Regions from separate parts of the Mus musculus genome. Here all the other regions are reported to be linked to region 2. Evidence: microRNA targets listed by miRTarBase, many of them from high-throughput screens and not tested one by one. Region 2 holds a microRNA gene; each other region holds the end of a gene's coding sequence.
The links. Region 2 holds the annotated microRNA mmu-miR-344b-3p (CAUUUAGCCAAAGCCUGACUGU, at 1,690-1,711, opposite strand). A microRNA usually pairs through its seed, bases 2 to 8, with sites in the 3' UTR of a target mRNA and lowers its output. Matches are read on the target gene's strand: a 7mer-m8 pairs with bases 2 to 8, a 7mer-A1 pairs with bases 2 to 7 and ends in A, and an 8mer does both.

Region 1: the mRNA of Ppp1r1c is a reported target of mmu-miR-344b-3p. Seed matches in the 3' UTR shown: 7mer-A1 at 1,649-1,655.
Region 3: miRTarBase lists Sh3rf3 as a target of mmu-miR-344b-3p. Seed matches in the 3' UTR shown: 7mer-m8 at 1,356-1,362.
Region 4: miRTarBase lists Nkain3 as a target of mmu-miR-344b-3p. Seed matches in the 3' UTR shown: 7mer-A1 at 3,021-3,027, 7mer-m8 at 1,623-1,629 and 7mer-m8 at 1,078-1,084.

What each region holds. Positions count from the first base shown.
Region 1 is chr2:79,807,628-79,811,627 of GRCm38, reverse strand. Ppp1r1c (protein phosphatase 1, regulatory inhibitor subunit 1C) reads right to left here. Exons shown (of 5, transcript NM_172420.4): 5 at 888-3,326. The coding sequence ends at 3,238. Among named protein-coding and RNA genes, the nearest start is that of Ppp1r1c, 100 kb to the right of the region's middle.
Region 2 is chr7:61,788,833-61,792,983 of GRCm38, forward strand. It overlaps Mir344b (microRNA 344b), which reads right to left and starts at 1,749; the gene lies at 1,687-1,749. All of the region lies in intron 6 of A230057D06Rik (RIKEN cDNA A230057D06 gene), which reads right to left.
Region 3 is chr10:59,135,306-59,139,305 of GRCm38, reverse strand. Sh3rf3 (SH3 domain containing ring finger 3) reads right to left here. Exons shown (of 10, transcript NM_172788.3): 10 at 390-3,486. The coding sequence ends at 3,318. Among named protein-coding and RNA genes, the nearest start is that of Gm23223, 58 kb to the left of the region's middle.
Region 4 is chr4:20,118,992-20,122,991 of GRCm38, forward strand. It overlaps Nkain3 (Na+/K+ transporting ATPase interacting 3), which reads right to left. Exons shown (of 6, transcript NM_001290410.1): 6 at 1-3,665. The coding sequence ends at 3,652. Among named protein-coding and RNA genes, the nearest start is that of Ggh, 79 kb to the left of the region's middle.

The DNA.
Region 1 (4,000 bases), not on the chromosome of region 2:
GGGGGAAATGATGATATTTGACCTAAGAGAAGAAATTGTCTGGGAGGTGGTTTCCTGATGCATGAGGGCTGGCATAGAAGAGGAGATAGAGGGATGCTAGAGTCTTCAGTAAAGAAGAAACGGGACCATGCAGGGGCACATAGGCTAGCCAGTCTAGCACGGCGATGCTAGTTTCATTGATGAGTTGATACAGGGGCAGAGTTGCTAGAGAGTGAGTGAGAGCTGATCTCTAGAACCCACAGTCCAAAAGACTAGTAGCTATAATACATATACAGAGGACTGGTGCAGACCTGTGCAGGCCCTGTGTGCAGGCCCCAAAAGACTAGTAGGTGAGGATCACGCAGTAGGTGAGTTCATACAATAGGTGAGGATCACACAGTAGGTGAGTTCATACAGTAGGTGAGGATCACACAGTAGGTGAGGATCACACAGTAGGTAAATTCACACAGTAGGTGAAATTTTCACATACGTTTTCAGAATCTTTTCTAGCCATGGTAGCAGTGCCCACTTGGCTAATCTAAGCATTTCATAGCTCATCATATAAGTCTCAAAAACAATGAAGGTTCAAATTGAATAAACTTATTTTGCAAATGGAGATTTGGAAAACTGAGACTAAGACTTGATAGAGGTTGAATTTGAATCGTAGATGGGGTGACTCAAAGCCTGTCTATTAACCATCATAACATCTTATGAATGAGGTTTGGCAAATACAGAATTTGAAGGGGTCTGCGTCAGTCAGTTTCTTTGCCTGTTCAACCAAACTAAAGCCATACTGTCTCCTTGTGGGAACAGGCTTTCAATGTAGACTGTAACTGTGTGAAAAGGAAATTGAGAGCCCACTATCTCAGCTCCAGTCTCCTTCAATTATGCAAGAATGACACACATTTCCCAAGAAAAACTTTAAACTGTAATTGATTTGTTTTGAGAGTGGACCAAGGAACAGAAGAAACAACATTCCCCCAGGAAAACATGCATCTCATGGTTTGATACCATTAACAACAGAGAGGAAAAGAAAGCAGCTCAAAAGTCAGGCTGCACATGTCCTAAAATGATAATATGATATCAGGGGGAGCTTTGGATCCTTCCTGTTTACCTAAGGTGGGGGAGGGGTGCACTTATAAAAGTGTATATTCAAGGAAAGGGAAAAGGTGACTATTATTTTGTTTGCACCCCAGGGAGTCTCAAACACTCTCAAAGGGTGTCAGGAATGTTTTGAAACAAAAAACTCAAACACATTTACAAGAAATATGAACCTTAATGATGTTCACAGTAGAGAAGAATTTGGGAAGAAAAATAGTCACGGCAGGTGGCAATAGACTCTAATGGTTTATTGATTTATCAAGGACAACATAGAGAAAAGAGAGAAAGAGGAAACAAGGAGGAAAAAGAGGAGGAAGAGGAAGACAGATAGAGGACAGGATAGACACTGGGCAATAACATCCAGTCTTGGGATGCTTCTCACTGAGTGAAACTCATTTCTACTGCATTTGTTAATAATTTCACATAAACTCTTATTTGCTACATTATAAAATTTTAAATTAAAAAAAAATCTTATTCTTTTGGATTTGCACTTTAAGATTTTATAGTAAATTTCACATTTTAATTTTTCCTTCCCTTCTTAATTTTCTCTTAGTGGATTTTTTATGATTATTTAGTGTGTGTGTGTGTGTGTGTGTGTGTGTGTGTGTGTGTCCCACATTCTAAGGTGTGTAGTAAAAGTGAGAGGCATACAATACATCTCATGAAGTAAGAAACAATTGATTCTCTCCTCCTGCCTGTGGGTTTCAGGGATCTACTAACCTATCAGTTGGTGACAGGCGTTCTTACCCACTGACCTATCACCAACCCCTTGCTTTAATGGCTTTGGATGGATATTTCTTTACATCTATGAAATATTTGAATCTCATTAAAACCAACAGTGTAGAAACAAAACTATCTATCTCCACTAAATTGTGCATTCCTATATCATGAATAATTAAAATTACCCAATGGCCAGAAATCTAAGTTAAAGTCATACTGACAAATACCCATTGTCATACAAAACCTTGCTGTAGCCCTATCTCCAGAGAGAAAATAAGCTTTCCTTTATCTTTATGGCTTCCAAAAGAGTAATTTCCTAGGAAAAAACATTTAAAATCATTTTTGATATGTATGTTACAACAGTTAATGAAAAGAGAGGCGACAACTTTGAAAAGGGCTGAGGGGTAGAAAGGTTTACTGAGAAAGGGAAAGATGGAATGTTGTAATACTAATCTCCAAATAACAGCGATTTTTTTTTAACTCCACAAAAAGTAGTTGTCGAATTAATGGGTGAGTCTATGGCTGAGTTTTTGAGATATTTCTTTTTATTCTATCACAGAGAAGAAGAATAAAACAGTCAGGATATATTAAACTGCAATAAGACTGAGGAATATTTGCATATACAAAGCCCTGGGTTCATTCTCTAGCACCAATAAAACAGAAAGAAACAATGAAAAACCCAGACAAACAAAAGTGATACAATATAGATGGCTTCGTTTTAAATAGTTAAAAAATAATAATAAAGAAAAGGCAGAAGAGAATGGCTATGTTTACTTACAAATTTAACATTTCCTTTCCAATAACTAGATGATGCTGAGAAGCCAACATTGAATGGCTTAGAAAATAAAGGGACATTTGTTTCTTTAAGTAACTGCTGGATGGAAATCATGTAACATCTGATGTGGTGTTTTGAAGCCAGACAACAGATGTCTGCCTATCACTGTCTCCTTGAGGTAAACTGGGGTCTGATGTAGGGCACAGAAGCTTGCTAAGTGCGGTTATTACTTAGGAGCCTCCGCAGATGCCCGTCTTCCATTAATCCCCACTCACACTCGTCCCACACACATTTGCTATTTATTTTGTAATGCTCTCTACATTTGACCTTAGAATGTAAATTATGTCGTAGGCCAGGAGGACTTAAGCTTTGGCAGTATCAAAGTGAGAACATTCATGTGGCAGCAGATTCCTAGGTGTGATGAGTTGAAAAGAAAAGTTGGGGTAAAGTAAGTGCCTATTCTTTACTGCAAGTGGTACACAGCAATCTGCACTCGGTTTCACAGTTCAGTCAAGGGGGCTTCCATGGGGATCACACTGCTGTGGGGGTGGGGGGTGAGACAGAAGAGGATGCTGGAGGCGGAGCTTTGGAGTACCAATGGATATTCAGAAGAGTACACAGTCCAGTTATTTCCAAGAAGCCCTCTTGCTACCGATGGGTAATTAATGGTTCCACTTCTCTTCTCTTTCACTTGCACTTTCTTCTTCTTCCGGGAACGCTGATCCATTCTGGTCTTTCAGATGCTTAACGCCTGAAATTATAAAAAATTGTGCAAAATGCAAATGAATTTTATTTCTAGCACATCTATCCACTGCTTTGCTGAAAGAGCTAATAAAAATGTGGAGTGGAAAACTTTTCCGTGTGTGTGTGTGTGTGTATGTGTGTGTGTGTGTATGTGTGTGTGTGTGTGTCTGTGTGTGTGTGTCTGTGTGTGTGTGTGTGTCTGTGTGTGTGTGTTTCTCCAAGAATCTCAACGATGTGTCCTACATAAACCATCTCATTCACTGAGGACACCCAGACAAATTTCCATTAGAGACAGAGTGTCTTTCATAACTTCATCTTCTCCTTCAAGGATTATATCACAGTCTATGAAGGCCCTGTTATTATAATTCTGATGTATCATTCAGGAATCATTCAATGAAAATAATGCTTTTGCTGTCACTGAATTCAATTACAAGGAGGGTCTTACAAAGTCAATACCACAGGGATGTTTGCCATTTTTGTAATGTATAAACAAAAAGGAAACAACCACAATATTCTTAGCCTTTTTTAAAATTCATATCATACCTACTGGATTATGGGACCCTTTTGTTCAAAATTCTTCAATAACTAGGCTGCGGAGTGGAAGAGCCTGGACACATAGCTTTGCTAATTTCCTTTGCTTGGATGATCTGGCCTCTCCCTGCCTGTTGAGCCTCATTTCTC
Region 2 (4,151 bases):
ATTAAGAATGATGATATCCTCAGTTTTGCAGGCAAATGGATGGAACTAGTAAATATCAACCTGAGTGATGTAACTCAGACCCAAAAGGACATGCATAGTATATACTTACTAATAAGTGATATTAGCAAAAAAAAATAGTGCTGAAAATCCAAGATACAGACTACAGAACTAAAAAAAGGTCAACAAGCTGAAGGGTCCAAGTGAGGATGCCTCAGTCATACTTGGGAGGGAGAAGAAAGCAACCACAAGAGGGGAGGGAGGGACATGGGGTGGGGAAAGGGAAAGAGGGGAGGAGAGGGGAACATGAACAGGTAGTGGATGGGTGAAAAGGACTGAAATCCCTGTGGGCAAGCAGAAAGAATCGAAACAATCAACCTCGGGAGGTAGGAAGTTGGGGAACCCTACAGAATGTACCAGAGACCTAGGAGACAAGACACTCTCAGGACTCAAGGAGAGGGACCTTAGATGAAATGCCCTATTGTGGGGAGAGGAAACTTGTAGAGCCTATCTCCAGCAGAAAGATAGGGCATCACGTGAGGGATGGGATTGCCATCCCACAGTCACAAATTCTGACCCATAATTGTACCTGTGTGAAAGAACTACACGGATGGGAGTGGAGAGGAGCTTGATGAAAAGAAGATCCAGTGATAGGCTCAAAGTGGGATCCAGCTCAAGAGGGGGCTCTAAGACCTAACACTATTACAGAGGCAATGGAGTGCTCACAAAAAGGGACATATCATGACTGCCCTTTGAAACACCCAACAGCAGCTGAAAGAGTCATATGCAGATATTTGTACCCAACCAATGGACAGAAGCTGCTGACTCCTGTGGTTGAGTTAGGGGGAAGGTGGAAGAAGTTGAGGAAGAGGGTGATCCTGTAGGAGGAACAGCAGTTTCAATTAACCTAGATCCTGAAGATCTCTCAGATACTGGACCAAGAACCAGGCAGCATGCCACCAGCTGATATGAGGCCCCCAACACATATACAGTACAGGACTGCTGGGTCTGGGTTTAGTCAGAGAAGCTGGACCTAACCCTCAAGAGACTGGAGGCCCCAGGGATTTCAGAGGTCTGGTATTTTTGGGGTGGTGGATGGGGACATCCTTATGGAGACGGGGTGGGGAAGGAGGAGAGAAGGTATGGGATGTGGATTAGTGAGAGGGTGGAAAAGGGGAATAAAATCTGGAGTTTAAAATTAATTAGTTCATTAAAAGAAAAAATTGAATCTCTAAGACCTCTGATAGCAGCAGGATAATAGGAAGTAAGATCACAAGTATTATACTTATCTGCCCAAGTGGTCCTTGGGTGAGAGATATTCTAGTGTCTTCAAATGTTACATCTTGAAGCTCTCAGAGCATATCATGGTGCCACTTAAAAACAGACCCTGCCAGAGCAATTCAGCACAGTGTCTTCCACAAGGGAGAGAAAGGAACGGCATATCCCTGATACCTGCCAGAAAGTGATGCGCAAAATGAATCATCATCCTTTTCCTTAAGGCTGACGAAGCTATGACACATCTTAAACCGAGGAAAACAACTTAGAGGCTTAATTACATTTCCTTCATAGTAAACAGGTACAGGTGACTCAGCACAGGAGTGCAGGGAATCCTACCATACACCTGATTATGCTGGGGTTCTGTTGCCTCTATCTCCTGGTTTCAGAAGCAACCATCCTTGTCTGGAGCAGCTTACAGTCAGGCTTTGGCTAAATGCAGCTGAAAGCTGAACTTTAGCCAGGAGCCTGACTGATGAAAATCCTGGCTGCAGAGAATTTTATTTTCTCTAGTTGCTTCTGATTCTCCAATCAGAAGTACGTATATTCAAATAGAGAATGATAAGAGCCAATGAGAGAAGAGATCTCAAACCTAGGAAGTGCCTGCAGTCACCATGGAGATCTCCATCAGACATGCTGATTCATGTACCTCTAGTTTCCCCCTGGGTGTTACAGTAGAAGCAAGGAGATAGAAAGGGAAAAAAACAGGAAAAAAATTGTTCTCAGCTCTGCCTCCAATTGATAACAGACAAAATCAGCCAGTGCTGCTTGAGGGCTGATCATGTACCTCATTATTTTATCATAGATCCTGACGATCTACAAGAAAAAATCCATTTCTGTTTGCATTCTCATTATTTGACTCTGGGCTACCAAGTGAAGCTGTCTGCTGATTCTTTCTCATCTGCCTTTTCCTTTTCCCCAAATTCCATGATGATCTGCATGATTATATAATATATTTATGTCTATTATAATGACCTATATAAGGGTGCTTAAAATGTAAATAGAAATGTTCTTCACAAGCCATAGTCTAAATCTACTTATTTAACATTGAATATCTCTGAGTCATAATGATAGAGAAATAATTTAGGACATTTTTGTATTTTTGAAAGAAAGGTTTCTAACATGCATGTTCTATATGTTCATCAAAATATACAGAGGAAAAATATGAATTCCTATCTACCTTTTTGATCAGGACAAAAACATTCAGGTATGAGTTACAAAATGAAATTTCATAATCTTAGTTGGAAATACTACAAATGCAGGTTCTAAAAGCCACATTATACCTGAAATTTAAAATAATCCAAGGACATCAATAGTTGCCATATCCTTTGGGCATTATCTTGGAAGGCATCATTAGTGTAGTCATTAGGCAAAATAAGTACTAGGCATTCCTGTTTTTTAAATATGTTTGGCTTTTGATAGATAGTTTTCAAAATTGAAAAGGGCATAATCATTTACACAAAAAAATCGTGAGTTAGAAAAAATATGTTTACCTCTAATCATAATTTTAACAAACCAGTACGAAATAAGAAAACATAAATTTTCAATAGACTTTTATAGAAAAGCAATGTAAAATAAAATACAAATGTCAGGAAGCAGGTTGTTTTACAAGACCATCAGCTGGGTGTAGTGGACTGCATCTGCATTTGGGAGATTCTTATGATGCTGAGGGGAAGCATAGCTTTACTGATAAATTTTGGATCACAATGGGCAGCACAGTGAGATTTTAACAGAAATCTATGGCATATATTACAAGAACAACACAGGGATAAATACAACACATGCATAGCTTGAACTATAACCCCAAAATTAATATGTATATAAATGTTTCAGCAGTAACTGCTGCAAAATTTTGTAAAGAAGGCAGTGTAATCCCTCTAAGAAAGCTACAATAGTATTCACAAAATGATGTGAAAATGCTATCCTGAATACGAAAACAGATTATGAAGAATTCTTCTATAGTTCTTGAATAAACAATAGTTATCAATGAAAATTTAACAACTGAATAAGATAAATAAAACCATATCTGACATATGAACAAACTTGTAAGTTCAATATGTTTAACTTAATTGTTTTATTATTTCATTGGTAGACAACACAGTCTCATTCTAAGAACAGAACTTTTCAAATTATTTTTTCTGATATTTAACTTTTCAAGGGTTGTATTTTTTAGATGAAATATCAGAAGAATATGAGTTGCTTGCAATAATCCTTTTCTATATTGATCAGCTGTATAAATCCCTCTATTCTTATGATGAATAGTCAGTTTAATTTCATATGCTAACTTCATTCAGGTAGCAGGGACAGATTTCAAAACAAGTTGTGAAATCAAGTTTCAGCACTGATAGCACTATGGATAATTAATATTTTAAACTGGACTCTTTAAAGCAAGTAGATTGTTAGCAGACTAAAACAATATATTTGGAGTCATAAATTATTTTTAATGTTCTCTGTTTTGCAAAGCTATTATGAAATTACTCAGACTTGATTAACGCTGTACTCACCATAAATGGAAAAACACCAACTCTTTAATTTTCTCCTTTGCTTTATCTCTCCCTGACACTTTCAGCTTGGTATCTATCTCTATATCATCATACCCTAAATGTTATCAGCTATTCCTATGGATGCATCATTCTAAGAGTCACAAAACTTCTTCCTCTGATGTTTTCTCAGTAATGCAATGCTTGCCTTGCTGCTACAGTTTGCTCATTTGTTTCTATTGTAGCTCAACTAACCATCAGTTCTGACCCTATATTTGTTCACTCTCAGAAGGCTAGAAGGGAGAATCTAAAGGAATCAAATAGACTTTGCAAAAGGCCACCAGATAATATCTAAAGTCTACAACTATAAATGATTTCTGTTTTAGGATGAAATGTTTT
Region 3 (4,000 bases), not on the chromosome of region 2:
TATCATTGGGGATGGGCTCTGAGGTGTCATAAGCCATGCCAGGTCCAGTCTCCCTCGCTCTCTGCCTGCAACTGAGCTCTCAGCTTCTGCTCCAGTCCCATGCCTGCCTGCCTGCCTGCCTGCCTGCCTGCCTGCCTGCCTGCCTGCCTGCCTGCCTGCCTGCCTGCCTGCCTGCCGCCACGCTTCCTACCATAATGATTGGGGATTACCACTCTGAAGCTTTAAGCAAGCTCCCAAGCGTCTCTTGGTCATGGTGTCTCTTCACAGCCATAGACCAGCAACTAAACCAACACCCTCAGTTCAGTGCCCCCCCCCCAGGGCCTGAATCCCAACCTCTCAGGCTCACGCCTACCCCACCTGCATTGGTCCCGTTATTGAGACACACAGCCTCTCCATGTTCATCTTTATTTAAAGACTCAGAAACACAGGCATCAGAGATGGCCACTACTGTCAATTCATCTAAAATCACACACTGACATTGGTGTATAATAAAAACATATGTGGGGTTGGGAGCACACGTGTGCACGTGTCTTTCTGTCTGTCTGTCTCGGTGTGTGTTGTGCAAAGTACAAGGGCTTCCACATCTACTGGGCTGATTTTGGGGTGCTCCGCCTTGTATTTACGCCTCACTATGGACCATCTTGTCTCTCGAGATCCATCAGTCCTCTGGAGGCTAGACTGTCCTGTCTCCTTGCTGACCGTCTATCTGAAGGGCTGAGAACTAAGGAGTGAAACCCACGTGGCCACCAAATACAAGTGTATGAGTAAGGGGCACATGCTGCTGGCCAGGACGGAATGTGAAGGTTCTAGATGAGGTGCTGGCTTCATTTTGGTGCCACAGACGTGTGTCCTCAAGGGAAGATGACCTTAGGAAAGGTACCTCTTTTCTGTCATTGGCTGTGGAAAACATGATTTTTGAAGGCTCAAGGGCTTGGGAGTGTTCAGAATACTCAGACCATGGGGTTCATTGTGTGTCTCAAAAGCCCCACCTGAGAATGAGCCCCAGGGCCCTGCTTCCCTCCCCATGCTGGTCGCAGTGTAAACTTTGCTAGGAGAGGATTCAGCTGATGTTTTCCACGGTACCTTGATGCTTTCCTCTGCTTTCTGTGAGGCTGCTACTTCCTCTATCACGAGGCAGCCAGTGCAAGAAAGGAAGACAGTTCCAAGTGAAGTCTGTTCTGTTGACTCAGAGTTGACCTTGTTTAGAAGGGAAAGGGACTTGCTTCATTGTCTGGGATCTGGAGTTAGCTCTGGTTCCACTGAAAACATGCCTCACCCAGGATGTAGATCTGTGTTACCTCCATGGTGGCAGCACGGAACCATACCTAGATCTTTTGTGCATGGATGGGCAAGTCATTTAGCAGTGACACTGAGTAGATATCATGTGGTTGTCACCGAGCCTGCATACAGGGGTCCCTATGTCTGAGATAGAGCGTCTCTTTGGCTCACAACAGTTTTCTATGTCCAATAAGGGTGCTATCACCTGGGGGAGGGTGAGACCGTCTGGGTGTGATTACATCCATGTGGTAGCCACCCGGCAGTCACAACTAGTTAGTCATATCCCCAGACAGAAACGTTGAGCATAAGTGCTCTTTATTTTATTATGAAAATCAGTGATAGCCTCTGCTACCAAAGACTTGATACAGGGCTGCATGATTTTATAAAAATGTACCCAGAGGCTCACAAATTGCTATTTTTTTTGAGAAATTTTTGAAAAAAAAAAAGTGTTCTTAGAGTGTGACACTCACACCTCCTGATAGCCATCAGGCTAGCCTCCTGGGCAGCAAGCTGTTGTGACAGTGAATATACGTAAGGCCTCAGAGTCAGAGACCAGCCCTCATTCCTTTCCAGCGTCTGCAGGCCCTGTAAGTCTATAGACAAGCATCAGGCTTGTGTTATCACTGTACCTTTGGTCTCTAGCAGATGAGTTTTGCCTGGCCTCAGAGGGCAAGCTATTTATTTTTGAAAAGGAAAAAAAAATCCTTTGCAAGAGAGTGGATCTGAGCTGTTGTAAAAGCTGCATTTTGGTAGAAAGACGTGCTTTCAGAATGCTATTTTTAGTCATTCTCTTTAAAGCAATCAAAGGAAGCTTCTGGGGTCAGTGTGTGTCTGTGTGTGTGTCTGTGTGTCTGTGTGTGTGTATGTGTGAGTGTGTGTGTGTTGTCTATGTATGTGTGTGTGTCTGTGTGTGTGTGTGTGTCTGTGTGAGTGTGTGTGTTGTCTGTGTATATGTGTGTGTGTCTGTCTGTCTGTGTGTGTATATATGTGTATGTGTCTGTCTGTCTGTCTATGTGCATTTTCTGCCACACACAAAGGCAGAACCCACTCCTTCATTTGTTTCCAGTTTTTTAGTCATAGCAATCACTCTCATCTAGATGGAGCTTGTGGGTTAGCTATTTCCAGCCGTTTGGGAAGACGCTCCGACTCCATGCACCCTCTCCACAGACCCTCCCTCTCGCTGCATGGAGCACCAGCCAGCATTGTGATATTACAGATAGGAATTCCTCAATATGCTCCAAACTTCATCTGGGAAATATAGAAAACTTTCCTTTGATGTTACTTCTTTTTTTCCCCCCTTGACACTTACCCAGGTTGGTTTTACAAAAAATCAGCACCAGATGTATGAAAAATATGCAGCGTCTGACCTATTAGAAATATATAAAGTCTAAGAGTTGTACATTAAAAAGGTGTGCCGTAAGAAGGAAGCAGTGTGAAGACAGCGGCGGAGGAACTGGACGGTGCACCTCATTATCCCAGTAGGAGACAAAGACAAGAGGGTTCTGCTCCAGTGCCCCACAGGACCCCACTGGACACCTTGGGAGGCTCACAGCCCTTCTATGAGGCTCCTGAACCATGAATGCCCTGGCGGTGAGGCCTGGTGGTAGGTGACAGAGGTATATAGAGGAATGGTACCCAGGGCAGGCAGGGAAGATGCTCTTCTTGCTGTCAGCCCTAGCACATGGCCCAACTCTATACCCTCCCGGGCTCCCAACCTTACACAATAACGCTTTAGCCGCTGGGTGACAGAGCAGCGCCTTTGTCCATGTGGGTAACATTTTCTGTGCTACTGCTCACTCAGACTCATGGCGTGGTCTTGCAGGACACTCACATGTGCTTCCAGTAGGATGTCACATGAGGATATGGCCTATCTTCACAAACACGCCATGGCCCATGTGTGCTTCCAATAAGGACTTCACGTGAATCATCGGCTTGTTTCTGGCCGGTGCTTTAGAAAGAACCTCGCTCGGACTTTGGTGATAAGGCGGGCATCCTCTGCTCTCTCCAGGACAACAGAAGCTAGCCATGAGCAGTGGTCCTCAGAAGCTCTCCACAAAGCTGCCTGGGAAGAGACCTGTGCGGCCATTCCGCTGCAGTGTCCCCTTGAACCAGCCGTCTTCATGCTTCTTGTGCACGAAGACGATATCACCTTCCTTTAGCTCGATCTCCGCTTCACTCTGTGGAGGGTAGGAGACCACCACACGGTACCTGGGAGGGCAGAAGAAACTGTGTGAGCAGAGGGGTGGGCTTTCCCTCTAATCCCCCGTAGCCCACAGTGAGCTCCCTATCCCCTCCGCCCCTCCAGTAAGTTCTTACAGTGTGCCATTACATTTTATGGTCTGTAAAATTATTTGTAAAATTTCCCAAAGCTCTTTACCTTGTCATCTAACCTCCCTTTGAACAGTTGTTGGTCATGGAGGTATTCAGGGGCCTAGAATAATATAGGCCACTGCCACTGTCACTGTCTGGCATCAGAGCCAGGCCATGGAACTGTAGCTCTAAAGACATCACAGGCTCCAATTGTGGAACATAGGGAAACCAAACTGAAGTAGGTAAGGAAGTTTCTTCCCCATTGGCTAGTCCTCCATATTGCGAGGCGCTGCGCCATGCAGGATGCTGCAGGGAGAATGGTAGTCAACAGCCTGACTCACTACACTACCAACTGGGCAAGCCAAATGTGTCAACTGGTACAGCAGTGGCAAACCTACCAGCCAGTGGCTGG
Region 4 (4,000 bases), not on the chromosome of region 2:
GGCAATGGTTAATTCTCTGTGGGTGCTGACTCCCTGAAAGATCCCAGGATTTAAGAAGGTTTATCCACCATGAAGAAATAGCCTTTTCTCTAAACTCTCTTCAGGAGCAAAAGAGATACCACTCACAAAACAAAATGTGAATTTTTCTAGTCTTCCACTTTTCAGATTTCATTTTCTTAATAAATACATTTGTCTGATGTTTAAAATGTACCAACTTCCTTTCTGAGTGGCACATTACTTAATCACACAAGGAGTAATGCTTTCCATTGGTTTTGCTCTTGGATAAAATATTCTTATTTTGTAGCCTTATTTATAACAAATATTTAAAGTTGACTTCTGGACACTTAAAAGACTCCTTGACTTCAAAATGTTATAGACCACTTGCTTATTGAAAATATGTTTTGTAAGTTTGGAAATTTAAGGTTTCCGAGTCTTTAAAAGACAAGTGGGCATGTGTGAGCTCAACAATGGTGTCAGAAGATCAACAGTCACTGAAGCGAGGACCACACCAGAAGCCAGTTTTTATTTCTTCTTGCTGATGGGTATCCACGGAGAGAGTAGAGAAGCCAGGTCTAAGGGCCTTTTCCAAAAATCCAAGTTTGTAAACATTTCATTGGTCAGTAGCTTTGCTCACAGCTTGGGGCTAGTTCAGGAACACATTAAGCCACCCTGGAGTTAGCTCATTAGTGTAGAAATATCTGTCTTGGACTTGGTTTCATCTGAGCTGCCCATGGCCAGTCCATAACACATCAGTTATTTGTATTTTTTCCTACTTTATTCATCCAACTCTTGAAAGAAAGTGTATATTGTTTGGGCTAAAATGTCAAATCAGAACACCTGAATTCTAATCAACCTATAAAGTTTTTTTTTCTGAATTCCTTATTAAAGTGACTCATAAGTGATAAGTATTTACTTTAAAAACCACACACTCAGAATCTCTGTTTTCCATAGTGAGACTATTTTGGGAACATAAAATTTAAGATTAAGTAAAAAAAAAAAATGAAAGTCTGTTTTATCTTGGCAAGATTCTAATTTTCAGAGACAAAAAGTGCAATTTTGGTTTTTACTTGCTCCTCCATTTAGCGGTCATGATGTTTTTTCTCGCCTTCACAACACACATTTCAGTTGATTTTAACGTAGACAAATTTCGCTTATCAGAAAAGGGCTGTTCATTGGATGAAACAGGTAGCCAGTCATTTTGCTATATCCTGTCAGGTTGAGCTACTAAAAGATAGCTGCCTCTGTTATTTGGGCTTATGGGAACAGCGAGGTTTGTTTTACCAAAGGGATAAGAAAATGCATCAATATATTGCTAGAACAAGATGCCATGTTATCTTCTAAAAAAAGGTGAACCAACCACATTCAAGGTTTAGAGTTGTATGAAGACATGTTCTTGTTTCAGGGTCACACCCTCACCCTTTCTATGGTGGTAAAAAGGAGGCTAAGATCATTGGAGAACATACTCATATAGTTTTTCTCTGATATGGACTGCTCCATGCTCAAGCCACTTCATGTCCGAGAGTTCTCTAATCCTTTTATCTTTCTGCCTAACTTTTGCTGGCACATGATTGGAAGTTCCCATAAATAAGCTGATGCCATCCTAGCTCTTGCATTTCCACATAATTTAGCTGGTTGCTCCAAGGAAGAGTAAGTCATTCATTCAAAAGAAGGCTGTGCCTGGAGCCAGGTTGGTCATGAGTGCAAAGACTTGGTGCCAAGACATGGCCTTTGTGTTATTCTTCTACACCCTGCCACAACCCTGGTCTCCTCAAATGGGAGTTTGATGGCACCACCTTTCAGGTTCCAAGAGCTCCCTGTCATTTAGAATCTAGGTTTATTCTGTAGGAGAGAACTCAGTGGGAGTACCAGCTAAAGGACAGGATACAGCCTAGTACATGAACTTCGAGGCATTAGGGCAGAGGGGATTGCATTAAATTCTGATAGCAGACTCATGAAATCTATGCATATAAGAGGGAGAAGAGGGAACAGAGAGACTTCCACAAGCATACAAAACTTTGTACCAATTTCAGTGGTTTATGGATGCCTTAGAGATATGTGAGCTGCACTGGACTGACTCTGGAGCAAACAGTGGACAGACAGAACTGTGATGAAGGGAAGACTCAATTTTTGTGTGTGTACAAAAGGACCAGAATGGCTTTTCACATGAGAACTAAGGCAGAGACAGGAAAACAATGTGGTGAGACAAATACCTGCCTTATACGGTGAGCAGACAGTTCATCAGCGATGCAGTTAAACCTTAGCAGTGAGAATCAACATGGATTTTATCCATCTACTTGGCCACTTTACAATGGCCAGGTATTTGGTCAAAACCAGTTTACATCAGCAGACTAAGTCAAGCACACTGCAATTTCTAATGTGGTATTTGTTGGGGATCAATGGCATCATGGAGACCAATGGAAAAGGGGACCAAGGAAGGTTCCTAAAGGGTCAGACATGTTCTGTATTTTGGTTGAAGCACTGCTCATTAAGTTTGTGCACTTCTCATTGTACCCTTAAAAACCTATGCATTTCACCATATCTATATTTCATTTGAATCTAAAAGGCCCCAGAATTGCAATACTTTTTCCAAGATGGACCTATTCTCCCCCTTAGAAAATTAGATTTTCCACTTAATTTTCTTGATTATTGGGATGAATGGGGAAAAAGAAAGAAAAACTGATGTAACTCAGGCATAAATATTTTTGTTACAGATCTCTATAGAGAATTCTATAGCATTTGAATGCCCCCTTTGAATATTCAAAACGTTCCTGACTACAGATTTATGGCTGTGATTTCTGTCCCACAGCCCTTGAGCTGTATGTATAGGTCTGACATCAGTGGTGAGAGTGAAACTAAGAGCAGAAAATACGAAGCTCACAGCCAGCCAACTCCCTGCCTAGGAAGGGTTCCACACATCATTCTGGGTTTGTACTCAGTCATAATATAAACACGCACATACATGTGTGTCTTGGAACATTGCAAGGACAAGAGATACACGGATCTGCACATTTATATCGGACTATTTAGAGATTGTGCACTCTTTAGAGATTCAGAACAAAGGGCTTCATGTTTTGTCTGTGTCTGGTGCTGTTTAAACAGTGATCTTTGCTAGGTTGGAAAGTTAGATCCAGTCTTTGTGCAGTCTGCCACAGGTCTACCCTTGTGTCTGATGCCCAAAGGCAATGTCTGTGTATACAAAACCATTAGCTTAGCAGGGTTCAGGGTCCAGTAACCTGGATGTCACAGCTCAATAACACAGACAATCCTCTTAGAAATGACTTGGAGAAGATTTTCATAGATTTTTTTTTTTCATTTTGCATGCCTCAAGTTAAATTAAAAACAATTTAAAACCATTTTTTTTACAATTTACAAGTGCTTATATAAGAAGATGACTTTAAAAACAAAACAAAACAAAACAAAACAAAAAAAACAAACCCACCCAAGCACCCAGAACGCATCTAGCAAACAACGCTAATGTTACACAGGCTGAGACCAAAGACCTCGCAGCTCCGTGTTCGCTGGTCTGGTCGGCAGGGGGCGCAGTCCTGCTGTCTAGGAGGAAGGTGACGCTGTAGGATCCCCAGAGCTAGAGGCCAATGGTGCTTTGTTCCCTAACTCAAGTCCAGGAGCCGCATTTCAGAGTCAATGTCATTACTTATTTCGACCTGAAAAAGAAAATATAAATTGCTTTAAAAAACTCCAGTGCTGATAAATGAAAAGCCTGTCTCTTTCTCCAGGCTTTTTGAAATGCAAAGCAATTTAGGGTGGGCCTGCTTCTCTTGGACCCAGGAGCTAGGAAGGTTAAAGGCTCAGCTCTTCTGCTTTCCAGATCAGTTTGTGGCAGTCCAGATAGGGAGACAGCTGACAGCCACAGGACTATGGGATGAGGTGGACTCACTGTCTCGGAAGGGAAGGCACTATATATCCCCAATTTACTAGCCATACTCCCGTAGCCTCTTCATGATACCGGTCTTGGTCTGAGAAAAATCGTGGACCTGGC